Pelodiscus sinensis: one gene and its partners. The protein of the gene in region 1 interacts with the protein of each later gene in a biochemical or structural test. Links are inferred from orthologs where the notes say so. Each region holds a gene or a part of one and is shown on either strand. Other genes may lie near its edges. The genes, in order: MAP3K5, CIB1, MAP2K4 and thioredoxin.

Region 1 (7,095 bases):
GGCTGCTTCCTCATAGAAAGAGGTTTACCACTGTCAGAAAAACTCCTGCGTTCTTTTGACTTTCTCTTGAAAGAACACAATTGCAGTGTGGACATAAGTGTAGTCAAAACGGCTGGCTGTTCCATGTGCCTCTCTGTGCCATGCATTGGGGAGGGAAGAGACTTTGCACACTGTCCCCACTCCCAGCACAATCATCTCAGCTTCCATTGCCCCCTCTCCTTGCACTTTGAAACGAAACATATTACTCAATATCAAACCAAGTAAAGCAAAAAGTACTTTTCAACAGAAAGAGGAGATATAAAACTAGTAAAAAACACTCCCGCTTTCCTCTTCCCAATCTGTGAAAAGATGTGTATATCAAGAACTGGTTCCTTAGCTATCTAAAAGTCAACAAAAGCTTTTGCTTAACTTCAGGAAGCACAGCCACTAACAAGCATGTTTTATATAGAAATACCTAAAACAGATTCAGCAGTATTTCAACAATGAAAACAAGTAAACCAACCAACCAAAAACAAAACAACCAAAAAAGCCCAAAACAAAAAACACCCTAATGAGAAATTACCAGAAGGTGGCAGGCATGTTCCATCTAGAAATTAAGGTTCCAATTTCCCGGGACAAACTCCCAAGCAACATTGAAAGATTTGCTCAGGATCACAAAGTAGCTTGATGATGCCCCATGCTATTTACCACAACCCCACAGGTTCATTGCCCAACTATGTAGCATTTAGCCCTTAGAAAAATGGCTAGCTGCCAGGTTTATTGCAAGAAAAGCAGGTAGGAATCTCTAATCCAAAGAGATAACTTCCAGCAGCAAGGGAAGTGAAATACTTTGAACTACAGTCTCTGCTGTGATCTGATAGTGTTTTTTTGATCAGAACTGATGTGAGTTGGCTGGCAGCATATGTCAAGTGGGATTAGAGAGGAAGGTGAGGTTAGACTCCTGGATTCAATTCCTGGCTCTATATTTCATCACAGACTTCCCCTGTGATTTTTGAACAAATCAGTTAATCTCCCTGGGCCTAGATTCTCCATCTGTAAAATGGGGAGAATAGTAAAGCTGGGTTCAGTAACTTTCCATGTGATCAGCAGATCTCTTTCAGGGATTTTCCTTTAGCTCAGTGTCACATTATTGGGTTTTAATGTGAGTAGGCAGACAGTTACTGTACACACTGGTGTGTGTTTGCCCCAAATTGGGTACAAAGTGGGCCATGTGAGATGTCAAAGGAAAGCTTATGCTATGCAGGTTCTGTTTAAGCTACTCATGTACTTGTACAACCTGTGTGTGTGTGTGAAGGTATGAATATTAGCTTTAACCAGCCAGCCAAACCGGGTCTTCAGCTATTTTGTGCTGACAGAGATTGCTGCTAAATCTGTCCCCAAACATTTATAATGCATTCACTGTCTTTCTAACACACCAGATAGTTTTCAAAACTGTTAATGTTTAAAAACTCTGTTTCATACTTGTGTTGTCTGCTCTTTGTATGTATCCCTTCCTGGAGGGTGAGTGTGGATTAGTCAGTTTCAGACTCTGTTTCTGGTCAGTTTCATGTCTTGTTGTCCATGGACTAGAAATTCAGCAGTGTTGAAGGCTGCAGGCAAGGCTCAGGGTATATCTACACTACAGAGTTTTTTCGTAAAAACGGTAGTTTTTCTGAAAAAAAAACCCCTTCACTTATGTCCACACTGCAATCAAATTCTTTTGAAAAAAAATTGAAAAAACAGAGGGATTTTTTGACATCGGTACACCTCTTTCTACTCCCCAGCTGACCCCAGTCTCCACTGCCCATTTGAAAGGCACAGAGGTGGTGTTTCAAAGGGGCAGCTGCGTCTCAGCTGAGCTGGGAATCAGCTGTGCGGTGGCTGCCCCTTAGAAATGCCACCTCCATGTGTTTCAAAGGTGCAGTGGAGCCGGGGGTCAGCTGGGAACTCCCCAGCTGATCTCGGCTCCGCAGGGCATTTCCCCTGAGCCCAGGATCAGCTGACCAGGTTCTTCCCAGATGACCCCGGAGCCTGGGGAAATGCTGTGTGGAGCCCGGGATTCGTCTCTGTGCACATTTCAAAGGGGCAGCCTTGGGGTCTGGGGTCAGCTGGGGATTCTTCAGCTGATCTTGGGCTCTGTGCAGAATTTCCCCAGACCCCGGGTTCTGCTGCCGCGGGGAGCCCAGGATAAGCTGGGAGCCCCCAGCTGACCCCAGATTCTGCTGCCACACAGAGCCCAGAATCAGCTGGGCAGTCCCCAGCTGGCCCCGGGCTCCATGACTGCCCCTTTGAAATGCCACATTGGGGTTTCAAAGCGGCAGCGCCGCACAGCTACGTGGTGCTGCCACTTTGAAGAACCCCCTCCCCTCTATCTTATGGAGGCATCAAAGGGGGGAAATTGACTTGCTTATCGGATAGTCGACTAGTCTTTAACGTCCCTACCGGAGATCAGCTGCGCACTCCAGCTGATCCTGGGCTCCGCCTTGAGCTGCCCCTTGGAAACGCTGCCCCGACGCTTCAAAGGGGAAGTGCTGCATAGAGCCCAGGGTCAGCTGGGGACTCTAGCTGATCCTCCATGCAGTGCTGCCCTGTTGAAATGCCGCAGCGGCGTTTCAAAGAGGAGGCACATACGATTAATCGTGATTTTTACATATATACACTTGTATGGACAGTGAAAAACTGCTACAAGTGAAAAGTATTATTGGCACTTGCATGTTAGTTGTTGACTTTTTGCTGTGCATTCAGTGTGAACAAGGAAAGAAGATTAATTAGTTTAACTTTCTGATATAGTCAGGTTCTCTTACACTGGATTCTCTCTATGCTTCAAAGTTTACAGACTAGAAAGATGGAGGGAAATGCATACCTTCAGATAAAAATGCACTTCTCTAAGGTGTCTTCTTTGATTTAAACTGTATTTCTATTAGCTTATTGTAGAACTTTTTTAACCACTAAACTTGTGAGACCTAGCTGTCTGCCTCTTTAAGCAAGTCTCAAAAAAATTACTATATTTTTAAGCTTGTTTTCATGATTCAGTTAGAGAGAATTTACAAGAAAAGGATTAAGGTGAATACAAAGGTATATATGGAGGGGAGGGAAATGTCTGTCTTGGGAGACAGCGTGAGTCAACAGAGTTTCTGAGGTGTCAGCTAGTTCCTTAGCTTTTTCAAAGCTGAAAGGAATAGTAGTTCCAGATGATACACACAGCACGGGATATTTGGAAACCTCTTTGCTTGTAAGGGTCAATATTCAAGCAGTAAATGTTGATTTTACTGTTCACAAACACACCCTGAAAAAAATTGTCATCCATTCTGACAAAATTTACAGCTAGATAACATAAGAAAAATATTGCTTGAGAATGTTACTTTGTATATTGTGATATGTGAGTTTGACAATATGGGTTTTCATGATTATAAGTTTTCACTTTTTGAATGTCATCATATACTATACTATATATATTTTTGTTAGACTCTAAGGCTATGTGTACACTGCCGGGTACTTGTGCAAGAACGGCCATTCTTGTGCAGAGAGTCCACACTGCCTGCCCGCTCTTGCGCAAGAAGATTTACAGTGAAGCTTGGGAGGAGAGGGCTTCTTGCACAAGAGCTATGCTCTTTTCTAACAAATGTAAGCCCTCTTGTGCAAGAGCTTTTGCGCCAGAGGGCAGTATGGATGCACGGCCGGGGTTTCTTGCGCAAAAAAACCCTATGGCTAAAATGGCCATCAGAGCTTTCTTGCGGAAGAGAGCATCCACACTGCCATGGACACTCTTGCGCAAAAAGCATATGGCAGTGTGGACGTGTTCTTGCACAAGAGTTCTTGCCAAGAACCTGCCAGTGTAGGTATAAGGTGCTGCAGGATCATTCGTTGTTTTTTAATCATTTTCTAGTATTAAATAATTATTGGCTGACCTCCCTCCCATACATTTCCTAAAATTTACATTGATAAATATAAAACTAACCATTGATAGCGTCCACTGCATTTGATTTTTTGTTAATACTCGCATTGAGACGCTAAGATCTCTTGAGGAGCCACCCCCACGCAGCTAACCTAACGGAGCCGCCTACAAGAGAGCAGCAGAGGGCGCCGTGCAGGGAAAAAGCGAATCAACAGCTGGTAGGAGCCATAGAGGGAGCCAGCGTCGCGCACCAAGCCTGAGCGAAAGTTTGGCGCGGCCAGAGCCGCCGCGAGCGCAGGAATGCAGCCAGGCCCAGGGGCGGGACTAAGGGAGGAGCCGGGCGGCTACTGGCAGGGCTGCTGCTCTGTGGGTGCAGCCATCCAAGCTGGATGAAGCGGCGAGGCTGAGGAGCGGCGATCCCACAAGTGGTTTGGCGGCTGGTCGGAGCGGCGGGAGGCAGGCGAAGGAAGAGCGAGTGCGAGGGGCTGCGGGAAGAGGCTGTGCCCTGCAGCGCGCTCGCCAGGTGGCCGCTGCCCCGCAGGTGAAGCCAGCCCCGCGCGATGGTGCCCTTGGCGGGCGCCCCAGGAGACTGCGCTGCCCTCCCGGCTCGGCTCGAGCTCGGCAGCCGCTGAGTGGGGGTCGCTTGCTGCCTGTAGGAGCCGGCGGCGGGCAGGGACGGGGCAGGGCGAGCGCGGCGGGCGGCGCGGCATGGCAGCGCCGTAGCCCCGGCGGCACCAGCAGAGCCCAGGGCACGGCGCCCCGCAGGGATGAGCGACAGCAGCGAGGGCATCAGCTTCTCGGTGCCCAGCCCGCCGGGCAGCGCCTGCCCCCACGAAGACGGGCTCAGCCGGAGAGCGGCGCCGGGGGCAGACGGGGGCGCCCGGAGCCTCCTGTCCGCGCCGCCAGCCGGCACCTACTGGAACGAGGACAGCGGCGCTGCTTGCCCTGCGGGGACAGGGACAGGAGGCCGGGTTAAGGGCGGCAGCACCCGGAGGACCACGGTGTCCTACGTGATCAACGAGGAGAGCCAGGGGCTGCTGCTGGTGGCGGCGGCGGAGAGCGGGGCCCTGCAGAGCCTGCGGGAGGCGTGCGAGGCTGTCGGGGCCTCCCTGGAGACCGTGCACTTCGCTGAGCTGGACTTCGGAGAGACCACGGTGCTGGACCGCTTCTACAACGCAGGTGAGCGACCCCACAGCCTCTCGCTCGGCTTCCTTCCCCTGCCTGGCTCCTTGCCTCCCACCCAGGGGCGCTCTTCACAACAGCTGGGCAGTGGCGGTGGGGGTTGTCACCCTAGGATCTGTTTTGCTGGGTGTGACATTCTGGGGTGCAATCTGTCATCCCTGCCCAAGGGTAGACGGAAGCTAATCTATATAGTCCATAGAGACACAGGTTTGTTCCTGCTGCTGTAGTGTGTCAGTTACTTCCTCTTTTGTTCATATGTCAGTGGCACTTTGTTGGGATGACATGCTGTGCAAAGGTTACTACTCATGTAAGCAAAAGACAAGCAGCTTCCCCTGGACTCCCTTTCCCTTGATAGAGGTAGGCATATCTCTCTCAGATTAGGGTTACACACTGTGCTTGAGGTTCCATTTTTCTGGACCATCCATCATTACCAGAAAATGGAACCTCAAACACAGGGTCAGGCCCACTTTTTCCTCTCAGATGTTTTCTGTGATTCTTGACACTTTGAAGAAATAGGTTTCTTGCACTTCTTGGTAGTTGGGACATTGGGGTAGAAGGTGTGTATCTGTCTCAGTCTCTGCCATACAGTGTTAGTTGCGCCTCTCATTTTAGCGCTTGTCTCCCAATTTTCTCAGTCCTCATTGATTCTGTATTAGGTGAGTCTCTCTCTTAATTTTGCAGATTCCACTGAGGTGGAGTCAACAGGGCTCTGGATGTGACTAAGGATGGGAGTACATCTGCCTGATATAACTACATGATGAGGGCCTAACATAAAATTTAGAATGCTACAAGTCTTTTCTAGTTGTTGTTGTTCTTTTATTGAGCTGTAAAATGGCAGTATAGTTTAAAACAGATTCTTAGACACTCTTGTGGTTTGTCCCATGTCTTGACAAAGAGGCTATTTCTTGGACTACAGCCCCTTCCATTGGTATTTAGGTAATATCCCTCAGACAACTACATTGTTTACATGGAAAAAAGGAGCAGCTAAAATACATTAGTTTCCTTTAATGTTATTTGGGGGGAAAGAAGGAACTAATTCTAAAAGGAACTAATTCTAGCTCTGCCCGCACCACCAGGTAGCACTTTTTGGAGCTCTGGTTGTCTTGCTACAGAGCTCAGTTTGGGAACCACCATTTTCAAATATACATATACAGGCAGTCCCCAGGTTACATGGATCCGACTTACATCGTATCCCTACTTACAAACGGGGTGAGGCAACCCCGCACTAGCTGCTTCCCCCCAGCAGACCACGGAGACGCGGAGCGGCTTTTCTCAGCAGACACCTCAGCTTGAGAATAAAGGACTGAGGGAAGTGAGGTATGGGAGAATAAAACTGAGCTCTGGAGAAATGTTTGGCTAGAGTTTCCCCTACAATATGTACCAGTTCCGACTTACATACAAATTCAACTTAAGAACAAACCTCCAGTCCCTATCTTGTACGTAACCCGGGGACTGCCTGTAGTGTTTTTTTTCCCCTCTCTCACTGTACTGAGCTCTTGCAGTTCCCATTTACTTCCGCTTGATTTCAGCACTTTTGAAAATAAAGTCCAATGTGAATATTTCAACATCTTCTTTATGTGGACCCAAAACTTGGGATAGTCTTCATATGTTTGGAAGAGACTGTGTCATATATCAATTGGATAAACTATTTAAGACAGCTGGGATTAAACAGAACTATGTATACGGAGTGTAACAGTTGCCAAGAAAGTCTCTGAATTCTGTCCTCTATCCTGATTTACATAGTTTCAAGTTTGCTACTGGGACCATGTTTGACTTGCTGGCAGTGTATTCACTAAGTTACTTGGCTGCAGTCAGTCTGGCAAGGCCACAGAGCCTGAGAGCTTCATGTTATCAAATAGGTAAGGTAAATGGGAGGGGCGTTGGGGAAGGGAAATAGCAATGGCCTATCAGATTTGTAAAGACTTTATAGAACCAGAATGATCATATTAAATGCTCTTTACAAAAGGAGAGAGAGAATTTGGAGCTAAGTTTTGACCAGATCTGTATGTGTTTGGAACACATTAGTTAAAATGTTTAAA
Region 2 (7,536 bases), on another chromosome or scaffold:
ACAGAAAGGTAGATATATTGGCTTTGAATTGTTTTGCATTTGAAGATCCGCTTACGCTGTCTTCCCTTGCAATATTGCTCGAATGAACTGCCTCTGGCTACTTGTTGCTTAAACACAACGCAGAGTGAAGGCTCGTTATCTTGCACACTGGCATTTGATGGCCTAGATCAAATTACTGGATGTGCAGTTAAATGAGCCTTTGATTTGGTAGCTTATGTTGTTGGCTCCAGGGACGAATTCGCTTGTATAGATACGTGGGCAGAGCTGGCACCACTGATTGCCGGGCCGGGTTCCTGGATGCTTATGATGTAGCTGTGTAGCATGGTGACTGGAAAGAATTCGTTTCAGGTTGGGGGGTTGTCTGTAAGCGAGAATGGGCTTTCCCTCAAGGCCTCAGAGTGAGAGGTCATTTTCCAAGATGGGTTGTAGCTTGCAGATAAGAAGTTGGAGGGGTTTGAGTTGTGGACTGCAAGTAATGACAAGTGCAATTCTGTTATTTTCTCTTTTGGGCCTGTCTTGAAGTAGTTCATCTCTGGGTACTTTTTTGGCTCTGTCAGTTTGTTTTTTCACTTCTCCAGGTGAGTATTTCAGTTTTAGGAATGCCTTATATAAATCCTGTAGGTGTTTGTCTCCGTCTGTGGGATTGGAGCAAATCCAGTTGTATCTTAGGGCTTGATAGATTGAGAAATGTGTCTGGGATAGAAGCTAGAGGTATGAAGGTAAGTGTAGTGGTTGGTGGGTTTCCAGTATAGGGTGGTGGAAATTTGTCCATTATTTAATTGTACTGTAGTATCCACGAAGTGGATTTGTCACATGGACTGGTCCAGGTGAAGGTTGATGGTGGGGTGGAAGTTGTTGAAATCCTTGTGAAATTCTTCAAGAGTCTTCTTTCTGTGGGTCCATATGATGAAGATGTCATCGAAGTAGCATAAATAAAATAGGAGCGTTAGGGGGTGAAAGCTGAGGAGACATTGTTCAAGATCAGTTTGTGGTGCCATGCGGGCACCCATGGCTGTGCCGCTGACTTGGGAGATACAAATGGTCTCCAAATTGGAAGTAGTGGGGGGCGAGGACAAAGTCGCAGAGCTCTGTAATCAGGTGTGCAGTGCTGTCATTGGGGATGGTGTTTCTGATGGCCTGTTATCTGTCTTCATGTGGAATGTTGGTGTAAAGGGCTTCTCCGTCCATAGTGGCCGGGATGGGATTTTCAGGTAGATTACTGATGTTTTGAAGTTTACCCTGACTGGTAAATGCCGGCAGCTGCTCTGGGGAAGAGAAAGGAGCCACTGGGATACGGGCACATTTCTGACCGAACCGGCCCTTTACTATGTGCTATGGGAAAGAGAGTAGATGCTGCAGCATCCAAAGGGGGTTTATTGGCTGTGTTCACCAGAAACAAGCCAATAGTTCAGTCACTACCGAGGTCAGAATTGTGGGGTTACCCCCCAGTTCTATCTCCCACTCCCATAGGGCAAGGACAACACTTCCTTCCTCTCTGGCCCAGAGTGGCACAGCAGGCCAGTGTCCAGAGGAGCCAGTTGGCAGTGCCTGCGGGGGCAGTGGTATAAAACAACAAGGCAGCCTCCATACTGGACCCAGAGCCAGAGCCCCACAGTGAACCATTCTGCAGCGATTCCAAAACACACGAGAGTCAGACTGGCCACAAGGAAGTGTGAGGCACGTGCAACGCAGAGCCCACGGGGTTACTGTGTGAGAAGTGCCACCAGCTGGCTACAGAGCTGAGCCAGCTGCGCCTCGGGGAGGAGGTGTCTCTGGATGGTGTGAATAGCTGTTGTCTCTGTGAGGCTCTCGAAGTCTTGGGCAGTTTTGACAGGCAGGTGCCCAGCCAGCTCACAAAGTGCCACGTTAAATGCAGTTTCCTCTTTGCTCCCAAAGCAGGAGCTCCTGGCCCAGATGACCACCCGGATCCCAGACCGAGCCTGGGAATGGGCTGGCTCCCCAGGAGCAGTTCCCCGGGTCACAAACACATTGTGTGCAATCTCCTTCTCCACCAGGTAATCAGTGACGCGGCAGATGGTGTGCGCCAGGGCTGCTAGCCCCTCTCCCTCGCTGTAGAACAGGAACCCTGGGGCCGGGACCCCCCGCAGGAAGTGGAAGTTGAGCGTGGGGCACAGGGCTTCGCCTGGGGCCGTCTCAATCAGGAGCTGCCAATCCAGGTAAAACCCATGCAGGTGCAAGTGGTTGACTGAGGCGAAGGCTCCCAGGCTGTTAAAGCCAACCCGGAAGCCTGGGTGTGCACTGAGAAGAACCGACTCCAGTCCGAACTGGAGCAGCTCCTGGGTGAGGATCTGAGGCAGGCAGAGAGCAGGGTCTGGAACAAAGAGCACGTGTCCAAACTCCAGAGGGCTGACGTTAATCACCACTAGGACGTGGGCAAGTGTCCTTGGGAGTTCACGCTCCCGCAGGCCCCCTCGGCCCTGAGAGGGCCCCTTGGTGGGAGGGTGGAGCGTAGGGCCCCTGGCCATATGGAAGAGGATTTCCCCTGGGTTGATCTTATTGAAATGGAATTGCTGGGGGTCAAATGTCTGCCTTATGCTCTGGATGGCCTGTGGTCGCCTCCTCTCCAGCCCCCTCTGGATGTTCAGCTGGGCCACAAACTGGACCTTCCCAGGCAAGACGCGGGTCTGTAGCTCGCCCAGGCGATACCGGAAGAGCCCCAGCCTCATCCTCTCCTCCCAGCCAGCCTGCAAAGCTCTGTCAAAGCGAGACAAGGGGTGGCGTGCTGGCCCCTCCGACCTGCTTCTCCACCACCCAACCCCACACAGCACATAATCTTCTTCACCATACACAAAGTCTTCCTGGCAGGACACAGGGCGGCTGCCTGGCTGCTCCGGGGATGGCAGCCCCGCTGGGTTGCGGAGGGCTGGGCTGGCACCCAGGGGCGCTGCCATGGCAGATGAGCAGCAGCTCTTAGGGCTCCGCTGCAGGCAGCATCCCCAGCGGATCTGGAACACACAAAGCAACCGCTGGGCATGAGGGGCCGTGGGCAGAACTCAGGGAGGAAGCAAGAGCCCCGCCCGCCCTGCCCCGCCCCGCCATGGGGCCACGACCCCGCCCCTCCCCGCCATGGGGCCACGAGCCCGCCCCTCCCCTCCCCCCATGGGGCCACGAGCCCGCCCCTCCCCTCCCCCCATGGGGCCACGAGCCCGCCCCTCCCCTCCCCCCATGGGGCCACGAGCCCGCCCCGCCCCGCCATGGGGCCACGAGCCCGCCCCGCCCCGCCATGGGGCCACGAGCCCGCCCCGCCCCGCCCCGCCATGCCATGAGGCCACGAGCCCGCCCCTCCCCTCCCCGCCATGGGGCTACGAGCCCGCCCTGCCATGGGGCCACGAGCCCGCCCCTCCCCTCCCCGCCCCGCCCCGCCATGGGGCCACGAGCCCGCCCCGCCCCTCCCCCCCATGGGGCCACGAGCCCGAAGCAGCTGCTCCCTCCGTCCCAGGTCTCCCAGCGGAGGGGGGGGCGCTGAGCGAGGAGCCGCCGGCCCCGCCCCCACTCACCCGCCGGCCCCGCTCCCCTCAGGCGCGCGGCTCCCGGCATGCTCCGCGCCGAGAGGCGGGGACACATCGCGACCTGCCACGCGAATGGGCGGAGGGGAAAGGTCACAGCTCCCGGCATGCCCCGCGCTCGGGGGGGGGGCGGGTCGATGCTCCCGGCATGCCCCGCGCTGGGGGGGGGGGGGGTCGAAGCTCCCGGCATGCCCCGCGCTCGGGGGGGCGGGTCGAAGCTCCCGGCATGCCCCGCGCTGGGGGGGAGGGGGGGGGGGTTCGAAGCTCCCGGCATGCCCCGCGCTCGGGGGGGCGGGTCGAAGCTCCCGGCATGCCCCGCGCTGGGGGGGGGGGGGGGGGTCGAAGCTCCCGGCATGCCCCGCGCTCGGGGGGGCGGGTCGAAGCTCCCGGCATGCCCCGCGCTGGGGGGGGGGGGGGGGGGGGGTCGAAGCTCCCGGCATGCCCCGCGCTCGGGGGGGCGGGTCGAAGCTCCCGGCATGCCCCGCGCTGGGGGGGAGGGGGGGGGGTTCGAAGCTCCCGGCATGCCCCGCGCTCGGGGGGGCGGGTCGAAGCTCCCGGCATGCCCCGCGCTGGGGGGGGGGGGGGGGGTCGAAGCTCCCGGCATGCCCCGCGCTCGGGGGGGCGGGTCGAAGCTCCCGGCATGCCCCGCGCTGGGGGGGGGGGGGGGGGGGTCGAAGCTCCCGGCATGCCCCGCGCTCGGGGGGGCGGGTCGAAGCTCCCGGCATGCCCCGCGCTGGGGGGGGGGGGGGGGGTCGAAGCTCCCGGCATGCCCCGCGCTCGGGGGGGCGGGTCGAAGCTCCCGGCATGCCCCGCGCTGGGGGGGAGGGGGGGGGGGTTCGAAGCTCCCGGCATGCCCCGCGCTCGGGGGGGCGGGTCGAAGCTCCCGGCATGCCCCGCGCTGGGGGGGGGGGGGGGGGGTCGAAGCTCCCGGCATGCCCCGCGCTCGGGGGGGCGGGTCGAAGCTCCCGGCATGCCCCGCGCTGGGGGGGGGGGGGGGTCGAAGCTCCCGGCATGCCCCGCGCCGGGCACTTGGCGGAGGCGGCCCTTTAAGCCGTGGGCGTTGCTGGGGCGTCTCCTGGAGACGGTGACGTAGGACCCCGCTCGCGCGGACTCCGGCCGGGGAAGCAGCGCGGGGCGGCATGGGGGGCTCGGCCAGTCAGCTCCCGCGGGACCTGCTCGGCGAGTACCAGGTACCCCCCCCCGGGGCCCCTCCCCCCGCCGCCACCCGCCGCCACCAGCCCCCCCCGAGCGCCCCCCCCGGGGCCCCTCCCCCCGCCGCCACCCGCCGCCACCGGCCCCCCCCGAGCGCCCCCCCGGGGCCCCTCCCCCCGCCGCCACCGGCCCCCCCCGAGCGCCCCCCCGGGGCCCCTCCCCCCGCCGCCACCGACCCCCCCCGAGCGCCCCCCCGGGGCCCCTCCCCCCGCCGCCACCGACCCCCCCCGAGCGCCCCCCCGGGGCCCCTCCCCCCGCCGCCACCGGACCCCCCCGGGGCCCCTCCCCCCGCCGAGCCCCTCCCCCCGCCGCCACCGGCCCCCCCCGAGCGCCCCCCCGGGGCCCCTCCCCCCGCCGCCACCGGCCCCCCCCGAGCGCCCCCCCGGGGCCCCTCCCCCCGCCGCCACCGACCCCCCCCGAGCGGCCCCCCGGGGCCCCTCCCCCGAGCACCCCCCCGGGGCCCCTCCCCCCGCCGAGCCCCTCCCCCCGCCAACACCGGCCCCCCCCGGGGCCCCTCCCCCCGCCGCCACCGGACCCCCCCCGAGCGCCCCCCCGGGGCCCCTCCCCCCGCCGCCACCGGACCCCCCCCGAGCGCCCCCCCCCGCCGCCACCGGACCCCCCGAGCGCCCCCCCGGGGCCCCTCCCCCCGCCGCCACCGGCCCCCCCCGAGCGCCCCCCCGGGGCCCCTCCCCCCGCCGCCACCGGACCCCCCCCGAGCGCCCCCCCCGCCGCCACCGGCCCCCCCCGAGCGCCCCCCCGGGGCCCCTCCCCCCGCCGCCACCGGACCCCCCCCGAGCGCCCCCCCCGCCGCCACCGGACCCCCCGAGCGCCCCCCCGGGGCCCCTCCCCCCGCTGCCCCCAGCCCCCCCGGTCCCCGCCCCCGGCCATGCCCCGCCCTACCTGCGCTGGGTAACGTTCCTCTCTTTCCAGGAGCTGACCTTCCTGACCAAGCAGGAGATCTTGCTGTGAGCGCCCGGCTGGTCCCCTCGCCCCTTGCCGGGCGCAGGAGCGAGAGGAGGGTTGCAGGGAGAAGGGGCCAGGGCCTGCCTGGAGCGCACCCAGCAGAGGGCTCAGAGCCACTGGGCCATAGGGTGGAGCCCAAGCTAGACGCCCTGCCTGGCTCCAGTGGGAGGGGTAGCTGGGGGAGGCAGCACTCCTAGCATGGCGGTGGCTGCTCCTGGAAAGCCCCAGATATGACACGGGCCCCCGAGGCAGGGCCCCCTTCCCCCGCACTGGTCCCCTTTGCTCTGAGTTGTGAGTGGTGGCAGCTGCCGCAGCGCGCACTGGCAGGGGTGCAGGCAGAGGTGGCAGCGCGGCCTAGGGGGCATGCATCCTAGCGGGGGGAGGGGAGTGCGGTGCAGCAGTGTGCAGTGACCAGGTAGTTCCTTCTGCCCTGAGCTTCTTCCTGCTCTTGCTCCCCGCCCTGCTGCACTCCCTGGCACAGGGCCTTTGAGCCTGGCTCTGTGCTGGACTCTGCTCCAGGGTGTGACGGCTTCTTGGTGTTTCCCTTGATGGGCTGCTTGAGGTGAAGCTGCTGGCACAAGCCCAGCCTGCCTGAGAGCGAGTCACGCACTGGCCAGGCACCGGCAGCTGGTCCTGTGCAGGGGCCTGTGGGGAAGTCCCTGCAGCGGTTGCTCTGGGAGCCTTCCTGGCAGCCACCTAGCACCGTAACCTCTGCAACTGGAGGTGCGGGGGGGCTACAGCAGGCTGGTGCCTAGTGCCACACTGAGCGGCCAGAAGGTGGGAGCTGGGTCTAGGGGCCAGCTGTGGCTGTAGCTTGCAGAGAAGGGGGCTGGCTGGCTGGGGAATGACTCTTCCTTCTCCCTTGCCCCTTGTTTGCGTCCATGTCTTTCTGCTCAAGCCTGGGAGTGTGCTCGGGGCATGCAGAATGGGTCCCCTGGGGGAGTGGCCCAGCTGAGCCCAGTAGCCAGGCCCAGGCCGGCAGCAACTCTGCCAGGCTCTAATTCGTCCTGTCTCCCAAAGCGCCCTCAAGAGATTCAGCGAGCTGCTGCCCAAGGAGGAGAGGGAGGACATCCTGCAGACAAGAGTCCCCGCGAGCAAGATGCTCACACTGCCTGAGCTGAGGGTATGGTGCACGCCCCCTGCTGCTTGGCCCCCTCTGCCCTAGGAGGAACCAGGTCAGCCCCACTCATCGGGGCAAAGACTCGGGTCCTGCCTGGGGCAGCTCCTTATCTGCTGCCCTTCATGCTGGGGGTGCTCGGCCTGGGCGGTTCAGTCACGGTGCGCTTGCTGTGCTGCGAGAGGGCCGTCCGCCTGGTGCCTTTCTCTCTGTGCCGTGCGGGCACTGCCGGCCTCGGGGCGCAGGGGCTGCCCACGGCCAGTGGAGCTGCACGTGATGTTGAGGGTCTCTGCACAGCAGGAGACTTTAAGGGTATGTCTAGACTACGTGCCTCTGCCGGCAGAGGCATGTAAATTAGACATACCGACATAGTCAATGAAGTGGGCCCCGGGGGGCAGCAGTCAAGACGGGGATTGGTCGGCAAGGAAAGCTTTTGCCGACCGATCCCTTATGCCTCGTGCAACGAGGTTTCCGGGATCGGTCGGCGAAGGCTTTCCTCCGATCCCCGTCTTGCCTGCCGCTTTGTGCCGACAAATAGCTGAGCCGGCACGATGCAGTGGCCATTTTTATTCTAATGAAGCGGGGGATATTTAAATCCCCACTTCATTGACTATGTCGGTATGTCTCATTTCCAAGCCTCTGCCAGCAGAGGCACGTAGTCTAGACATACCCTGAGGCTGGAAGGGATCATGGTGATTCTCTGCTTGGCCCTCTGAC
Region 3 (7,136 bases), on another chromosome or scaffold:
CCTGTGGGCACACTGCCCCCCCCACACACACACACAGCCTGTGGGCACACTGCCCCCCCCACACACACACACAGCCTGTGGGCACACTGCCCCCCCCCACACACACACAGCCTGTGGGCACACTGCCCCCCCCCACACACACACAGCCTGTGGGCACACTGCCCCCCCACACACACACAGCCTGTGGGCACACTGCCCCCCCACACACACACAGCCTGTGGGCACACTGCCCCCCCCACACACACACACACAGCCTGTGGGCACACTGCCCCCCCCCACACACACACACAGCCTGTGGGCACACTGCCCCCCCCACACACACACACAGCCTGTGGGCACACTGCCCCCCCCCACACACACACAGCCTGTGGGCACACTGCCCCCCCCCCCACACACACAGCCTGTGGGCACACTGCCCCCCCCCCACACACACAGCCTGTGGGCACACTGCCCCCCCCCCACACACACACAGCCTGTGGGCACACTGCCCCCACCCACACACACACAGCCTGTGGGCACACTGCCCCCCCCACACACACACACAGCCTGTGGGCACACTGCCCCCCCCCACACACACACACAGCCTGTGGGCACACTGCCCCCCCCCACACACACACAGCCTGTGGGCACACTGCCCCCCCCCCACACACAGCCTGTGGGCACACTGCCCCCCCCCACACACACACAGCCTGTGGGCACACTGCCCCCCCCCCACACACACAGCCTGTGGGCACACTGCCCCCCCCCCACACACACAGCCTGTGGGCACACTGCCCCCCCCACACACACACACAGCCTGTGGGCACACTGCCCCCCCCACACACACACACAGCCTGTGGGCACACTGCCCCCCCCCACACACACACAGCCTGTGGGCACACTGCCCCCCCCACACACACACACAGCCTGTGGGCACACTGCCCCCCCCACACACACACACACAGCCTGTGGGCACACTGCCCCCCCCACACACACACACACAGCCTGTGGGCACACTGCCCCCCCCACACACACACACACAGCCTGTGGGCACACTGCCCCCCCCCACACACACACACACAGCCTGTGGGCACACTGCCCCCCCACACACACACACACACAGCCTGTGGGCACACTGCCCCCCCCCAACACAGCTGGGCACATGCCCCCCACACACAGCCTGTGGGCACACGCCCCCCCCACACACACACAGCCTGTGGGCACACTGCCCCCCCACACACACACAGCCTGTGGCACACTGCCCCCCCCCACACACACACAGCCTGTGGGCACACTGCCCACCCGCCCGCCCCCCCCCACACACAGCCTGTGGGCCACACTACCCACACACACAGCCTGTGGGCACACTGCCCCCCCCCACACACACACACAGCCTGTGGGCACACTGCCCCCCCCCACACACACACAGCCTGTGGGCACACTGCCCCCCCCACACACACACACAGCCTGTGGGCACACTGCCCCCCCCCACACACACACACAGCCTGTGGGCACACTGCCCCCCCCCACACACACACAGCCTGTGGGCACACTGCCCCCCCCCCACACACACACAGCCTGTGGGCACACTGCCCCCCCCCACACACACACAGCCTGTGGGCACACTGCCCCCCCCACACACACACAGCCTGTGGGCACACTGCCCCCCCCACACACACACAGCCTGTGGGCACACTGCCCCCCCCCACACACACACAGCCTGTGGGCACACTGCCCCCCCCACACACACAGCCTGTGGGCACACTGCCCCCCCCCACACACACACAGCCTGTGGGCACACTGCCCCCCCCCACACACACAGCCTGTGGGCACACTGCCCCCCCCCACACACACACAGCCTGTGGGCACACTGCCCCCCCCCACACACACACAGCCTGTGGGCACACTGCCCCCCCCCACACACACACAGCCTGTGGGCACACTGCCCCCCCCACACACACACACAGCCTGTGGGCACACTGCCCCCCCCCACACACACACACAGCCTGTGGGCACACTGCCCCCCCCCCACACACACACAGCCTGTGGGCACACTGCCCCCCCCACACACACACACAGCCTGTGGGCACACTGCCCCCCCCCACCACACACAGCCTGTGGGCACACTGCCCCCCCCCACACACAGCCTGTGGGCACACTGCCCCCCCCCCACACACACACAGCCTGTGGGCACACTGCCCCCCCCACACACACACAGCCTGTGGGCACACTGCCCCCCCCACACACACAGCCTGTGGGCACACTGCCCCCCCACACACACACAGCCTGTGGGCACACTGCCCCCCACACACACACAGCCTGTGGGCACACTGCCCCCCCCCACACACACAGCCTGTGGGCACACTGCCCCCCCCACACACACACAGCCTGTGGGCACACTGCCCCCCCCACACACACACAGCCTGTGGGCACACTGCCCCCCCACACACACACACAGCCTGTGGGCACACTGCCCCCCCCACACACACACACACAGCCTGTGGGCACACTGCCCCCCCCCCACACACAGCCTGTGGGCACACTGCCCCCCCCACACACACACACACAGCCTGTGGGCACACTGCCCCCCCCCACACCCGCTCGCCCCCTCCCCGCGCGCTCCCCCCCGCCTGCCCCTCCGCTCGCCAGGCCCAGGCCGGCCCCGTCAGGCCCGTGGCCCCGCGCCCTGAGGCGGCAGCCGGCGGTCCCGGCGCGCGGGCCGGGGCGGCTCGAGGGCCCGGCCGGGCCTAGGCGCAGGCGGAGGCCGCGGGGCCGGGGCCTGGCGGGGCCGCTCACCCTGCATGCTGCTGAGCGCCGTGTGCGCCTGCGAGCCCGGGGCGCCGGAGCCGGAGCCGCCGCTGGGGCTGGGAGCCGCCATTGTGCGCCGCGCCGCGCCCGCCCGCAATGCAGCAGGGACCCTCCCAGGCAGGACACCTAGAGCCCCGACTCCGTATCGCAGGCGCCGCGCCCGGCCCAGGCCGTCCCCGCCGGGCTCGCCTGACCCCTCCCCGCGCCGCGCCGCGCCGGGACCCTGCCCCGCTCCTGCCCCGCCGGGTCCGCCTGACCCCTCCCCGCGCCGCGCCGGGACCCTGCCCCGCCGGCTCTGCCCCGGCCCTGCCCCGCCGCCCGCCGCCCGCCGCTGCCCCGGCCCTGCCCCGCTCCCTCCCCGCCGCCCGCCGCTGCCCCCGGCCCTGCCCCGCTCCCTCCCCGCCGCCCGCCGCTGCCCCGGCCCTGCCCCGCCGCCCGCCGCTGCCCCGGCCCTGCCCCGCCGCCCGCCGCTGCCCCCAACCTCCCTCGAGCCGAGCCCGGCTGCCTCCCTGCCCCGCCGCTGCCTCCGGTCCCGCTCCTGCCTCTCTGCCCGGCTGCCTTCGTGCCCCTACCCTGCTCCAGCCTCCCGCGCACTCCTGCCTCTGGCCTTCCTGACTCCCCTGCCCTTCTGCCTTCCTACCCTCGCCTACCTGCCCTGAACCCCTGCCCGGCTCCGGCCTCTGGCCTCCCTATATCCCTGCCCTCCTATGCCTGCCCAAATCCTGCCTCTGGCCTCCCCCATAACCCTACTCATCTCCTGCCTCCCTCATACCCCTACCCTGCTGCTGCCTCTGGCCTCCCCCATATTGCTGCCCTAGTGCTCTCTAGCCTGCTCCCATGCCCTTTCCCTGCTCTTCTGCTGTTGCTTCCAGCCTGCTCCCCTACCTCTTCTCTTCCCTGGTCTGCTTCTGCCTCCGGCCTGTCCCTTTAGCCCTGCCCTCATACCCCTTTCCTGCCCTTCTCCTGCTACCTCTACCACTATTCAGCCATTCCTCATCAAAATGGCCACTCAGTTTTCTTATCAGAAACACATATCTGAATTCCTTTGCTGTTATATCCTTTTCAGTATCCCTTTCTATCTGGCCTTCCATAAGATCCAGTCTACTAATATCCATTAGTTCTGGGCCAACCCTGGGGAGTAGGCTCAGGGCATGAGGGCTTCCCCTGCTCCGCTCACCCACCCAGTGCTCCAACCAGTGAGTGGGATCTGGGTGCAGGAATCTTCGGAATGCCTGGAGTGCCAGGTGGGCAGACGGAGAAGAGTCAGGACTGCAGGGGTGAGCCCCAGCCCATGCATAGCTATGCTCCTGCAGTGTGGCCTAGTAACTAAAGCATTGGACTAGGACTCAGGAGAATGTTTTAGTTCCAGCTCTTTTCCATCCATTTCTCTGTATTTCTGTCCCCCATTTATAAAAGTGCAACTATACTATCCCCCTTTGCAAAGCATTTTGGTATCTACTGATGTAAGTCCTAGGTATAGAGTTATAGAATCCTAGGGCTGGAAGGCTATGTCTACACTCGCGGGCGAGAAATATGCAAATGAGGCTAAGCATGGCATATCCCCTGAAAATAATCAGAGTAGCAGCATTGCACAAGAGGAATTTTGTTGCACAAGAAGGGGCAGTGTAGACAGCTCCTTCTGGCGCAAGAGTCTCTTGGCGATATTCCATTTTTAGCTTCATTTGCATATTTCTCACACAAGAAGCTGTGAGTGTAGACATAGCTGAAGAGACCTCAGGAGGTCAAGTCTAACCCCGTGCCCAAAGCAGGACCAACTCCAACTAAATCATCCCAGCCAGGGCTTTGTCAAGCCAGAACTTAAACACCTCTAGGAGTGGAGATTCCCTTAGGAAACCCATTCCAGTGCTTCACCACCCTCCTAGTGAAATAGTTTTTCCTAATATCCAACCTAGACCTCTCCCACTGTAACTTGAGACCAGTGCTCCTCCTTCTGCCATCTGTCACTACTGAGAACAGCCTCTCTCCATCCTCTTTGGAATCTCCCTTCAGGTAATTGAAGGCTGCTATTAAATCCTCCCTCACTTTTCTCTTCTGCAGATTAAATAAGCCCAAATTTCTCAGCCTTTCCTCATAGGTCATGGGCTCCAGCCCCCTAATCATTTTGGTTGCCCTCCGCTGGACCTCTCCAATGCGTCCACATCCTTTCTATAGTGGGGGCCCCGGAACTGGACGCAATACTCCAGATGTGGCCTCACCAGTGTCAAATACAGGGGAATAATAGATCTAGATCTTCTCTAGATCTGCAGGCAGTGCTCTTATATGCACCCTAATATGCCATTGTCCTACATAAGAACAGCCGTACTGGGTCAGACCAAAGGTCCATCTAGCCCAGTAGCCTGACAAACAGAGGCCAGGGACACCATTTCTATCCCCTGGCTAATAGCCTTTTATGGACCTAACCTCCATGAAATCATCTAGCTTCCCTTTAAACTCTGTTATAGTTCTAGCCTTCACAGCCTCCTCTGGCAAGGAGTTCCACAGGTTGACTACCCGCTGTGTGAAGAAGAACTTTCTTTTATTAGTTTTAAACCTGCTACACATTAATTTCATTTGGTATCCTCTAGTTCTTCTATTTAGGGAACTAATAAATAACTTTTCTTTATCCGCCCTCTCCACACCACTCATGATTTTATATACCTCTATCCCCCCTCAGTCTCCTCTTTTCTAAACTGAAAAGTCCCAGTCGCTTTAACCTCTCCTCATATGGGACCCGTTCTAAACCCCTAATCATTTTAGTTGCCTTTTTCTGAATCCTTTCCAGGCCAAAATATCTTTTTTGAGGTGAGGAGACCACATCTGTACACAGTATTCAAGATGTGGGCATACCATAGTTTTATACAGGGGCAGTAAGATATTCTATGTCTTATTTTCTATCCCTTTCTTAATAATTCCTAGCATCCTATTTGCCTTTTTGATCACCGCTGCACACTGGGGCTACGTCTACACTGGCCCCTTTTCCGGAAGGGGCATGTAAATTTCAGCAGTCGTCGTAGGGAAATCCGCGGGGGATTTAAATATCCCCCGCGGCATTTAAATAAAAATGTCCGCCGCTTTTTTCCGGCTTTTAAAAAAGCCGGAAAAGAGCGTCTAGACTGGCCCCGATCCTCCGGAAAAAGTGCCCTTTTCCGGAGGCTCTTATTCTTACTTCTTATTTAAATGCCGCGGGGGATATTTAAATCCCCCGCGGATTTCCCTACGACGACTAGTGAAATTTACATGCCCCTTCCGGAAAAGGGGCCAGTGTAGACGTAGCCTGTGTGGAAGTTTTCAGGGAACTATCCACGATAACTCCAGGATCTCTTTCCTGATTTGTCATAGCCAAATTAGCCCCCATCATACTGTTCGTATAGTTGGGGTTATTTTTCCCAATGTGCATTACTTTACACTTACTCACATTAAATTTCATTTGCCATTTTGTTGCCCAATCACTCAGTTTGGTGAAATCTATTTACAGTCCCTCACAGTCTGCTTCTGTCTTGACTATCCTAAACAGTTTGGTATCATCCCCAAACTTTACCACCTCACTGCTTACCCCTTTCTCCAGATCATTTATGAATAAGTTGAAAAGGATTGGTCCCAGGACTGACCCTTGGGGGACACCACTGGTTACCCCTCTCCATTCTGAAAATTTACCATTTATTCCTACACTTTGTTTCCTGTCTTTTAACCGGTTCTCAATCCAAGAAAGGACCTTCCCTCTTATCCCATGGCCATGTAATTTACACAAGAGCCTTTGGTGAGGGACCTTGTCAAAGGCTTTCTGAAAATCTAAGTATACTGTATCTACTGGATCCCCCTTGTCTGCATGTTTTTAACCCCTTCAAAGAACTCTAATAGATTAGTAAGACATGATTTCCCTTTACAGAAACCATGCTGACTTTTGTCCAACAAATTATGTTCTTCTACATGCCTCACAATTTTATTCTTTACTATTCTTTCGACTAATTTGCCCGGTACTGAAGTTAGATTTACCGGTCTGTAATTGCCAGGATCGCCTCTAGAGCCCTTTTTGAATATTGGTGTCACATTGGCTACCTTCCAGTCCTTAGGTACAGAAGCCGATTTAAAGGATAGGTTACAAACCACAGATAATAGTTCAGCAATTTCCCTTTTGAGTTCTTTTAGAACCCTTGGATGAATGCCATCTGGTCCCGGAGATTTGTTAACATTAAGTTTTTCTATTTCTTCCAAAACCTTCTCTAATGACACTTCAATCTGAGACAGTTCCTCAGATTCATCACTCACAAAGGACGGTACAGATTTGGGAATCTCCCTAACATCCTCATCCGTGAAGACTGAAGCAAAGAAATCATTTAGTTTCTCCGCAA
Region 4 (7,336 bases), on another chromosome or scaffold:
ATTTGTTGTGAAAAATGCCCAGTTTTGATGATAAAAAGCTTTCATTTGAGACTTTTCCCAGCCCTTTATTGTGGACAAAAAATGAACAGAATGTCAATGGAACAAACTGCAGAACTGGCTCCCACCAGTATCCCACAATGCCTGTACTCTGGGCTCCACTCAGTATTGAGCTGTGCTATCCTGAAGGCATGCACCTCCCTTTTCACAACTCTGGAAAGGGACTACATATCTTCACTAAAAGGTGGATTGATAGGCAGCAATCCATCTAGGAGGTATAAACTAGGGCTATGAACAACTATTACCCCCCCCCCCCCCATTTGCTGCCTCTATCAGAAAAAGGCAACAGAGGATGGGGGGGAGAAGAGGGGAAGCTTCAAAGTGGCAGCACTGTGTGGAGCCTGGGGACTCTGAGGCCACTAGGGTTCGGTGTGTGGCCCACAAGACATTGTTTCCTGGGGTGGGGCTGCCAGATTATACTAGTTTCTGCTCAGTTTTTCCTACTGATATTAGCAGTGTGTGCTGATCACACAACATGGACTCAGAGCCATGGGCTTCCTCTGCATCCAATGAAAGCTCTGCTACTATTCAGTTGTCACACCTCACAAATTCTAAGCTAAGTGCAGTTGGAAAAAAGACCCTCTCCCAGGATAGTGATAGAAATGTAGCCTTGTTAGTCTGGTGTAACTGAAACAAAATGCAGGACTATGTAGCACTTTAAAGACTAACAAAATGGTTTATTAGGTGATGAGCTTTCGTGTGCCAGACCCACTTCCTCAGATCAAATAGTGGAAGAAAATATGATTGTCTTAGATATGAAACTCTTACAGCCGAAATGAAGGGCTATCCATGCAGCCCACTCGCTAGCCTAGATTGCCTGTCACCCTTCTGAAAGTCTTGGCTAAGAAACTTTGGGAGTTTGTAATTATTTAATTTTGAGAGAGAGAGAGAGAGAGAGAGAGAGAGAGAGAGAGAGACAGAGACACACACACAGACACAACAGGTGCCATATGAAGAAAGATTAAAAAGACTAGTCTCCTCTTTTCTAAGCTGAAAAGTCACAAGGTGGGGGATATGACAGAGGTCTATAAACTCATGACAGCTATGGGGAAAGATTAAGGGAAAGTTATTTTACTTTTTCCCATAACATAACTAGGTGTCAAATAAAATAGTAGATTTAAAACAAATAAAAGGAAGTTTTTCTTCACACAACACAATCAACTTGTGGAACGCCTTGTCAGAGGATGTTGAGAAGCCCAGGACTTTAACAGAGTCCAAGAAAGGACTAGATACATTCACGGAGGTTAGGTCCATCAAGTCTTATTAGCCAGGATGGGCAGGAATGTTGCCAGTAGGCTCTGTATGTCAGAAGCTGGAAATGGGGGACAGGGCATGGATCACTTGATTACCTGTTCGTTCATTCCTTCTGGAGTATCTGTCATTGGCCGCTATCAGAAGACAGGATACTAAGCTGCATGGACATTGGTCTGACCCAGTATGGCCATTCTTATGTTAGTTTCCAGGCTATTGAGCAAAGCTACTAGCACAGATGAACAGCAAGAATCCTAGACCTGAGGCCCTCCCCAAAGAAGGGAATCTGCATGCTTCTTGTAATCATTACACTATCACACTAGCAGCAAATCTAATGGAGATGACATGTAACCAGTATCAATGAATCATCTGCACAGTGTAAACAAATTTGTGCTTTCACTTGAAAATGCTCTTGTTGTTAGTGGCAGGTAAGAAGCTATATTTCGACATCAGGCAGAGCTTACACTATGGCTGTGTCTACACTGGCATGAATTTCCGGAACTGCTTAAAACGGAATACTATTCCGTTTTCAGTTTTCCAGTAAAGGAGCGTCTATATTGGCAGGCTGCTTTTCTGGAAATGCCCTTTTTCCGGAAAAGCGTCTGTAGCCAATGTAGACGCGCTTTCCTGGAAAAGAGCCCCGATCACCATTTTCACGATCGGGGCTTTTTTCCAGGAAAGACTACTGGGCTGTCTATACTGGCCCTTTTCCGGAACAGTGTTCCAGAATAAGGACTTATGCCCGAGTGGGAGCAGAATAGTTTTTCCCGGAATAGCGGCTGATTTTGTACAGTAGAGCATCGTTGCTTTTCCAGAAATTCAAGAGCCAGTGTAGACAGCTCGCAGCTTATTCCAGAAAAGCGGCTGATTTTCCGAAATAAGTGGCCCAGTGTCAACACAGCCTATCAGTTTTCGCTTCAGCTTTCTAATTAAACTGCTGCAGACCACAGACGGCTCCCACCCTCGCTGTCGCTACTACAGCTTGCGCCCCAAGCGCAGAATTCGCATGGGAAGAGCCTTGCTCGTGTCCCCACAGCTGAGCGCCCCTCTAGCCCATGCAATGCCCTGAGGGCTGGGGGGGGAGGGGAAGCAATGGTGCTGTGCACCGTTTGAATCGAGACCCCCCCCCCAGGCAGCTACGTGGGGCCCCTCCACGTGCCGCGCGGGGCCCAGGGAAAGGCGCAGGTGTGACGCTGACAGGTGGACTCCAAGCCGGGGCCGTAGCACACGCGCGGCGGACTCGCACCCAAGGCCCAGCGCGGGCTCATCGCTCCGTGGCAGCGGCCGCAGGGCCACACCCAGCAGGTGTGTGTGGAGATAGGGGCAGTGGCGAGCGGAGCGCGCCCCCTTCCCCGCACAGGCCCGGCGCAGCCCCCCCAGCCGTGCACTGGGCAAGGCCCATCCCCAGGGCCTCTCAGACCCGAGAGCACCGCCTCGCGACGGGGCCGCGCGCGCTCCCGCGAGCCAACGGGCTGCCGCAGTTCCAACCGCCGCCCAACCGAACCCGCCCCAGCCCGTAGGCAGCGGGGAGAGCGCGGCGCCCGCGCCGGCGCCATTGGCTACGCACCAGGTTCGCCACGCGCTTCACCATCGTTGCCGCCCTGCCCGCGCTCGTCACACACACAACTCGGCTGTTCCGGCTAGTGCTTGTGGCGGGCTGGGTGCCACCCTCGCGCTTATATAGCAGCCAGCCCCCCTTGGCCTTAGTGCGCACGCGCGATTCGCCCGCCCCCTTCCCTTCCCTTCCCTTCCCAGAAGAGGAGGATGCGCGCTCATCGCTCATGGGGGCCAGTGCGCGCTCCCGCCCGCTCCCCTCGGCGCGTGTGCTGCCCCCTCGCTTCGCTAGGCGGCGAGACTGGGGGAGGGACACCCTGAGAAATCCCCCCCCCCCCCAGCAGATCTCTCCCCCGTGGTCTCGAGGGAGGGAGACGCCGCCTGCCCCTGCCTGGGAGGGACACAGGGCAGCGCTGATGCAGCCCAATCCCTGCGCTGGGCGGGGCTGCAGACGGGTTTTTTTGGGGGGGGGTGGGCTAATCTGCAAGTGACACCCCCCCCCCCCCCCGCTCTTCCAAGAAAATTGCCAGGGGCTGGGAGCGAGCCAGTAGCTCAGATTTGCCCTAGCCACCCCTCTTGTGACGGGAACACAGCACATCAGGGCCCAGCACAAGCGTTTAATACTTGAAGGCTGTGTCTAGATTGGCAAGTTTTTCCACAAAAGCAACTGCTTTTGCAGAAAAACTTGCCAGCTGTCTACACTGGCTGCTTGAATTTCTGTAAGAACACTGACTTCCTACTGTCTGAAATTAGTGTTTCTTACGGAAATACTATGCTGCTCCCGTTCCAGCAAAAGTCCCTTTTGCGCAAAGCTTTTGCGTAAAAGGGCCAGTGTAGACAGCTCAGATTTGTTTTGCACAAAAAAATCCCTGATCGCAAAAATGGCGATCGGGGCTTTTTTGCGGAAGAGCATGTCTAGATTGGCACAGGCGCTTTTCCGCAAAAAGTGCTTTTGAGGAAAAGCATCCGTGCCAATCTAGACGCTCTTTTCCACAAATGCTTTTAACGGAAAACTTTTCCGATAAAAGCATTTATGGAAAATCATGCCAGTTTAGACGTAGCCGAAGAAACAATAAAAGTGTGTGATGTATTGAAAACCAATTCATGGTCTGTTAATTGAAAACCTCCAAATCCACAAAATGTGCTAAAAAAAGGTGGAGTGAGGATTTCACTGAAAATTTCATTTTTTTGGTGGGAGTTCAAATACTGAACAATTATTGTTTTCAATTGCAGTATTTTGGTGTAAGGATACATTTTTCAACCAAAATTTGAAATTTTCTGAGGCAAGCAGTTTTGATTAATCTCTCTATATATGAAAAGCCAATACACCAGCACCGACTGATAAAAAGCATCAAAGGAATACAAAACACACAAATTAAAAATACACAAATTAGAAACTGTGGTAATGTGTTTTGGTGCCTACTTGGAAAAGTAAACAAGCAAAAAAGATCCCTAAAGTTTGGCCAAAGATGCTTAGCATAATAGCATAAGAAATGTGAAAGCATTTTTTCTTCCAGGAAAATTGAAAACAGATGTTAAGAAATAAAGGATATTTTTCTTTTTTTTAATTACGGAAAATAAAAAATGATTACATGGATGGAAATACATCCTATTTAGCATGTATTTTTGTTTCTCTGGAATTAAATGGGGCCTCTTTAGTGTGACATGGGAGAAAAAGAGAGTGGTAGGTAGAGGAATTTTTGGCATTAAAGAAACTTTTGATCAAATAGTGAGAAATGCATTAATCACAGCCACATGCTAAGGGCGGGCCTACATTTTCTTACATAGCTTATGGCTCTCAGTTCTTGCTAAAAGCTCAGTGACTTTGGAAATATCTGCTGTGTAATGATTACCAGGAAGTATTTCACATGCTTAGGCACCACCCAGAACTCAGATGCTTTCTCTCCTCCCTCCGTCATTCCTTGCCCACAGTGGTTCATTGCTGATTTTGCTGCTTGTGAAATATCATTATTTACAATTTATATTACTGGAAAAACTCCAGCCAGTGTGCATTATTTAAGTAGTTTCAGTCAACTCTATATGATTTATGATTTTTTGAGAGTTCACAAGTTGCCATGAAGTTTTCTCTTCTTTTGCTTTCAGAAGGTGCAGTCAGGAAGGTTACTGAGTTCCCAAGTCAGTGTTAGACCACAGACTTCCTACAATTATGAAATCTCAAGTAGTCACTTGTATTGCTTAAATTAAACTAGTCCTGATTGTATATTTATAATAATAATGATACAGTGAACACCCTTAAAGTTCCACTAGGTTCAGAAATATTTTGCATATTTAAAATGGACAATTTCATTAGAATTCTTTAAACTGTGTGGAACTTTTAAAAGTATATTTTTGTTTTTTGTATATTCTGTGTGTGTGTGTGGTTTTTTTTAAGAGGGGATGTATTTGGGGGCTCATTTAATATGTTTTGGTGTTCGTTGCGTGCCTTAAAATCCTGGGATGAATTTAGTTGAGTGATTGTAAAAAGTGACTCCATAATTATCTTTTGATTCCAAAGAACATGATTATTGGTGCCCCTATAATTGTGGCTGGATTATTGAGATGAATAGATTTTTAGGTCCTTTGCACTGAGGTCAATCACATGAATATTTTGTACTCTATAAAATATATATGTCTTACATGTTTTAGAATTTGGTGGAGACTAAGCCAAAGGGAATAAAAGATGTTAAATTGTTAAATAGGTAAATGTTTGACTAAAGATAAAATATTTTAAACATCTAATAAACGCTTTATCTCTGTTTCCGCATAAGCAGATATCCCCTTTCACCAAGCATTAGGGAAAATCCCTGGTTCTTTATCAACTGGATTCACAGATATTGTGCTAGTTAGTTACAGTCTTTCCGGCAAAAGATGTGTTTATTATTTCATTTCCTTGTGTCTTTAAAGGATTTTCACCATGTGGTAAGCTCTCAGATGATTTATCCTGCCTGGGAGATGATGTGCAGTCTTTACAGTGTACTTTTTGACCTTTTGCTTATTCCTCTCCTTTTGTGAAGAGGATAAATGTCTCTCTCATACATACCATATATAGATACCTGAGGCCACTTTCGTCACTTTGGCAGCATATAGGGTCATAAAACTAGAGGCTTCAGAGAGTGGGTAATTGTGTAAGAGAATTATCTGGGTGGTGCTTAACTGGCATAATGGAGCTACGTACCCCTTCTTAAAGCTTGAGGTACAGGAATGCTAGAAGCATGGCCAGGAAAGAACCACTGCTGTGATCTGCTACTCTCAACTGCCAGAATATACCCTTGTGCTCCATGGACAACTGACTGTAAATTACAGTGGCTATGAGGCTACTCTGATTTATACTGAGAAATAGCAGGGCCCTATCTAGTCCCAAAATACAAAGAAGTACAAAAGTAGCATAAGGCCTCTTTCCACCTTGCTGCATGATAGTTTACCGGGTCTCATGGCCAAACTGCTAGCAAATCAGAGACTGATGCTGAGTAACCTCTGAAACTGAAGATAACTAAGAAGTACTTGGACTTTTTAAAAAAGCCTGTGTATTGCTCCACAATTATAGTAACCTAGTACTTATAAAGTCACTGGGAATTTTGCTGCAGTAAGCACAGAGTAAAAATGGAATAAGGACATCAGGGTTTAGCCCAGAATGAATTTAATCTTCAGATTGTTTTTGTAAATATTATCAAATCCCCACAAGACCTTTTAAAGGTAGATACATTTATGAAACCTATTTAACAGGTAGATGCCTAAAACTAGGCACTTAATTCCATATTTAGGCACCTAACTGAAAGAGGTCTGCTTTTAGGGTTGCCAGGTGTCCAGTTTTGAACCGGACAGTCCAGTATTTGAGCTTTCTGTTCAGGAAACCAATGGAGAAAATATAAATGAGAAAATATAACTATCCGGTGTTTTCTAAATAAGCTGTAATGTAGATTGTGATGTAATGTCAAGTGTTTCCGGTATGTTTGTTGAAACCATTTGGCAACCCTATCTGCTTTCCAGGTGAGGAGGCGTGCAAGCAGTTCCCAGGGACTTCACTGGGAAATTGCCATTGCTTAGCAAAATCAGGACAGTTACACAGCCTCTCCCCGAGTTATGAATGAGTTACGGACCAAACACTTGGCCATAACTCGAAGTGTTCTTAACTCGGAGCCCATTGAGTTACATGGCAACTGCGCTGTTCGTAAGCATGGATTGCGTTCGTAACTCGGGGACCGCATTTACGACCACTTCAGTCATAAATGCGTATGGTCATAACTTGACCGTTCGCAACTCGAGGACCGGCTGTATTACACTGCCTCACTACAAGACACCCAACTTAGAAAATGTTGGCTCTTACCTTTGTCGCTTTTAATTCTCTCATCTATAAAGTGGGAATAATTATACTTACCTATGGGAACTTGGGGGTTAATCCTGCACCATTAAAACCAATGGAAGGTATGCCATTGACTTCAGTGAGAGTAGGATCAAACCTCTGGTGGAGCTAAGA

What was found.
Region 2: the proteins of MAP3K5 (region 1) and CIB1 form a complex in vitro, tested with the Homo sapiens proteins (2 studies listed by BioGRID and IntAct). The link is inferred for Pelodiscus sinensis from reciprocal best matches to the Homo sapiens genes MAP3K5 and CIB1.
Region 3: of the proteins of MAP3K5 (region 1) and MAP2K4, one has a biochemical effect on the other in vitro, tested with the Homo sapiens proteins (3 studies listed by BioGRID). The link is inferred for Pelodiscus sinensis from reciprocal best matches to the Homo sapiens genes MAP3K5 and MAP2K4.
Region 4: the proteins of MAP3K5 (region 1) and thioredoxin form a complex in vitro, tested with the Homo sapiens proteins (3 studies listed by BioGRID). The link is inferred for Pelodiscus sinensis from reciprocal best matches to the Homo sapiens genes MAP3K5 and TXN.

The regions. Positions count from the first base shown.
Region 1 is NC_134713.1:97,632,539-97,639,633, reverse strand, and holds the start of MAP3K5 (mitogen-activated protein kinase kinase kinase 5), read left to right. Parts: upstream 1-4,091; 5' UTR 4,092-4,641; coding exon 4,642-5,053; intron 5,054-7,095. UniProt on the Homo sapiens protein: Serine/threonine kinase which acts as an essential component of the MAP kinase signal transduction pathway. Plays an important role in the cascades of cellular responses evoked by changes in the environment.
Region 2 is NW_027466005.1:108,305-115,840, forward strand, and holds the start of CIB1 (calcium and integrin-binding protein 1), read left to right. Parts: upstream 1-4,523; 5' UTR 4,524-4,666; coding exon 4,667-4,717; intron 4,718-5,669; coding exon 5,670-5,704; intron 5,705-6,722; coding exon 6,723-6,825; intron 6,826-7,536. Other genes in the region: GDPGP1 (GDP-D-glucose phosphorylase 1), read right to left, coding at 1,704-2,912. UniProt on the Homo sapiens protein: Calcium-binding protein that plays a role in the regulation of numerous cellular processes, such as cell differentiation, cell division, cell proliferation, cell migration, thrombosis, angiogenesis, cardiac hypertrophy and apoptosis.
Region 3 is NC_134730.1:262,750-269,885, reverse strand, and holds the start of MAP2K4 (dual specificity mitogen-activated protein kinase kinase 4), read right to left. Parts: upstream 3,021-7,136; 5' UTR 2,858-3,020; coding exon 2,776-2,857; intron 1-2,775. UniProt on the Homo sapiens protein: Dual specificity protein kinase which acts as an essential component of the MAP kinase signal transduction pathway. Essential component of the stress-activated protein kinase/c-Jun N-terminal kinase (SAP/JNK) signaling pathway.
Region 4 is NC_134716.1:10,346,820-10,354,155, forward strand, and holds the start of thioredoxin, read right to left. Parts: upstream 3,012-7,336; 5' UTR 2,900-3,011; coding exon 2,876-2,899; intron 1-2,875. UniProt on the Homo sapiens protein: Participates in various redox reactions through the reversible oxidation of its active center dithiol to a disulfide and catalyzes dithiol-disulfide exchange reactions.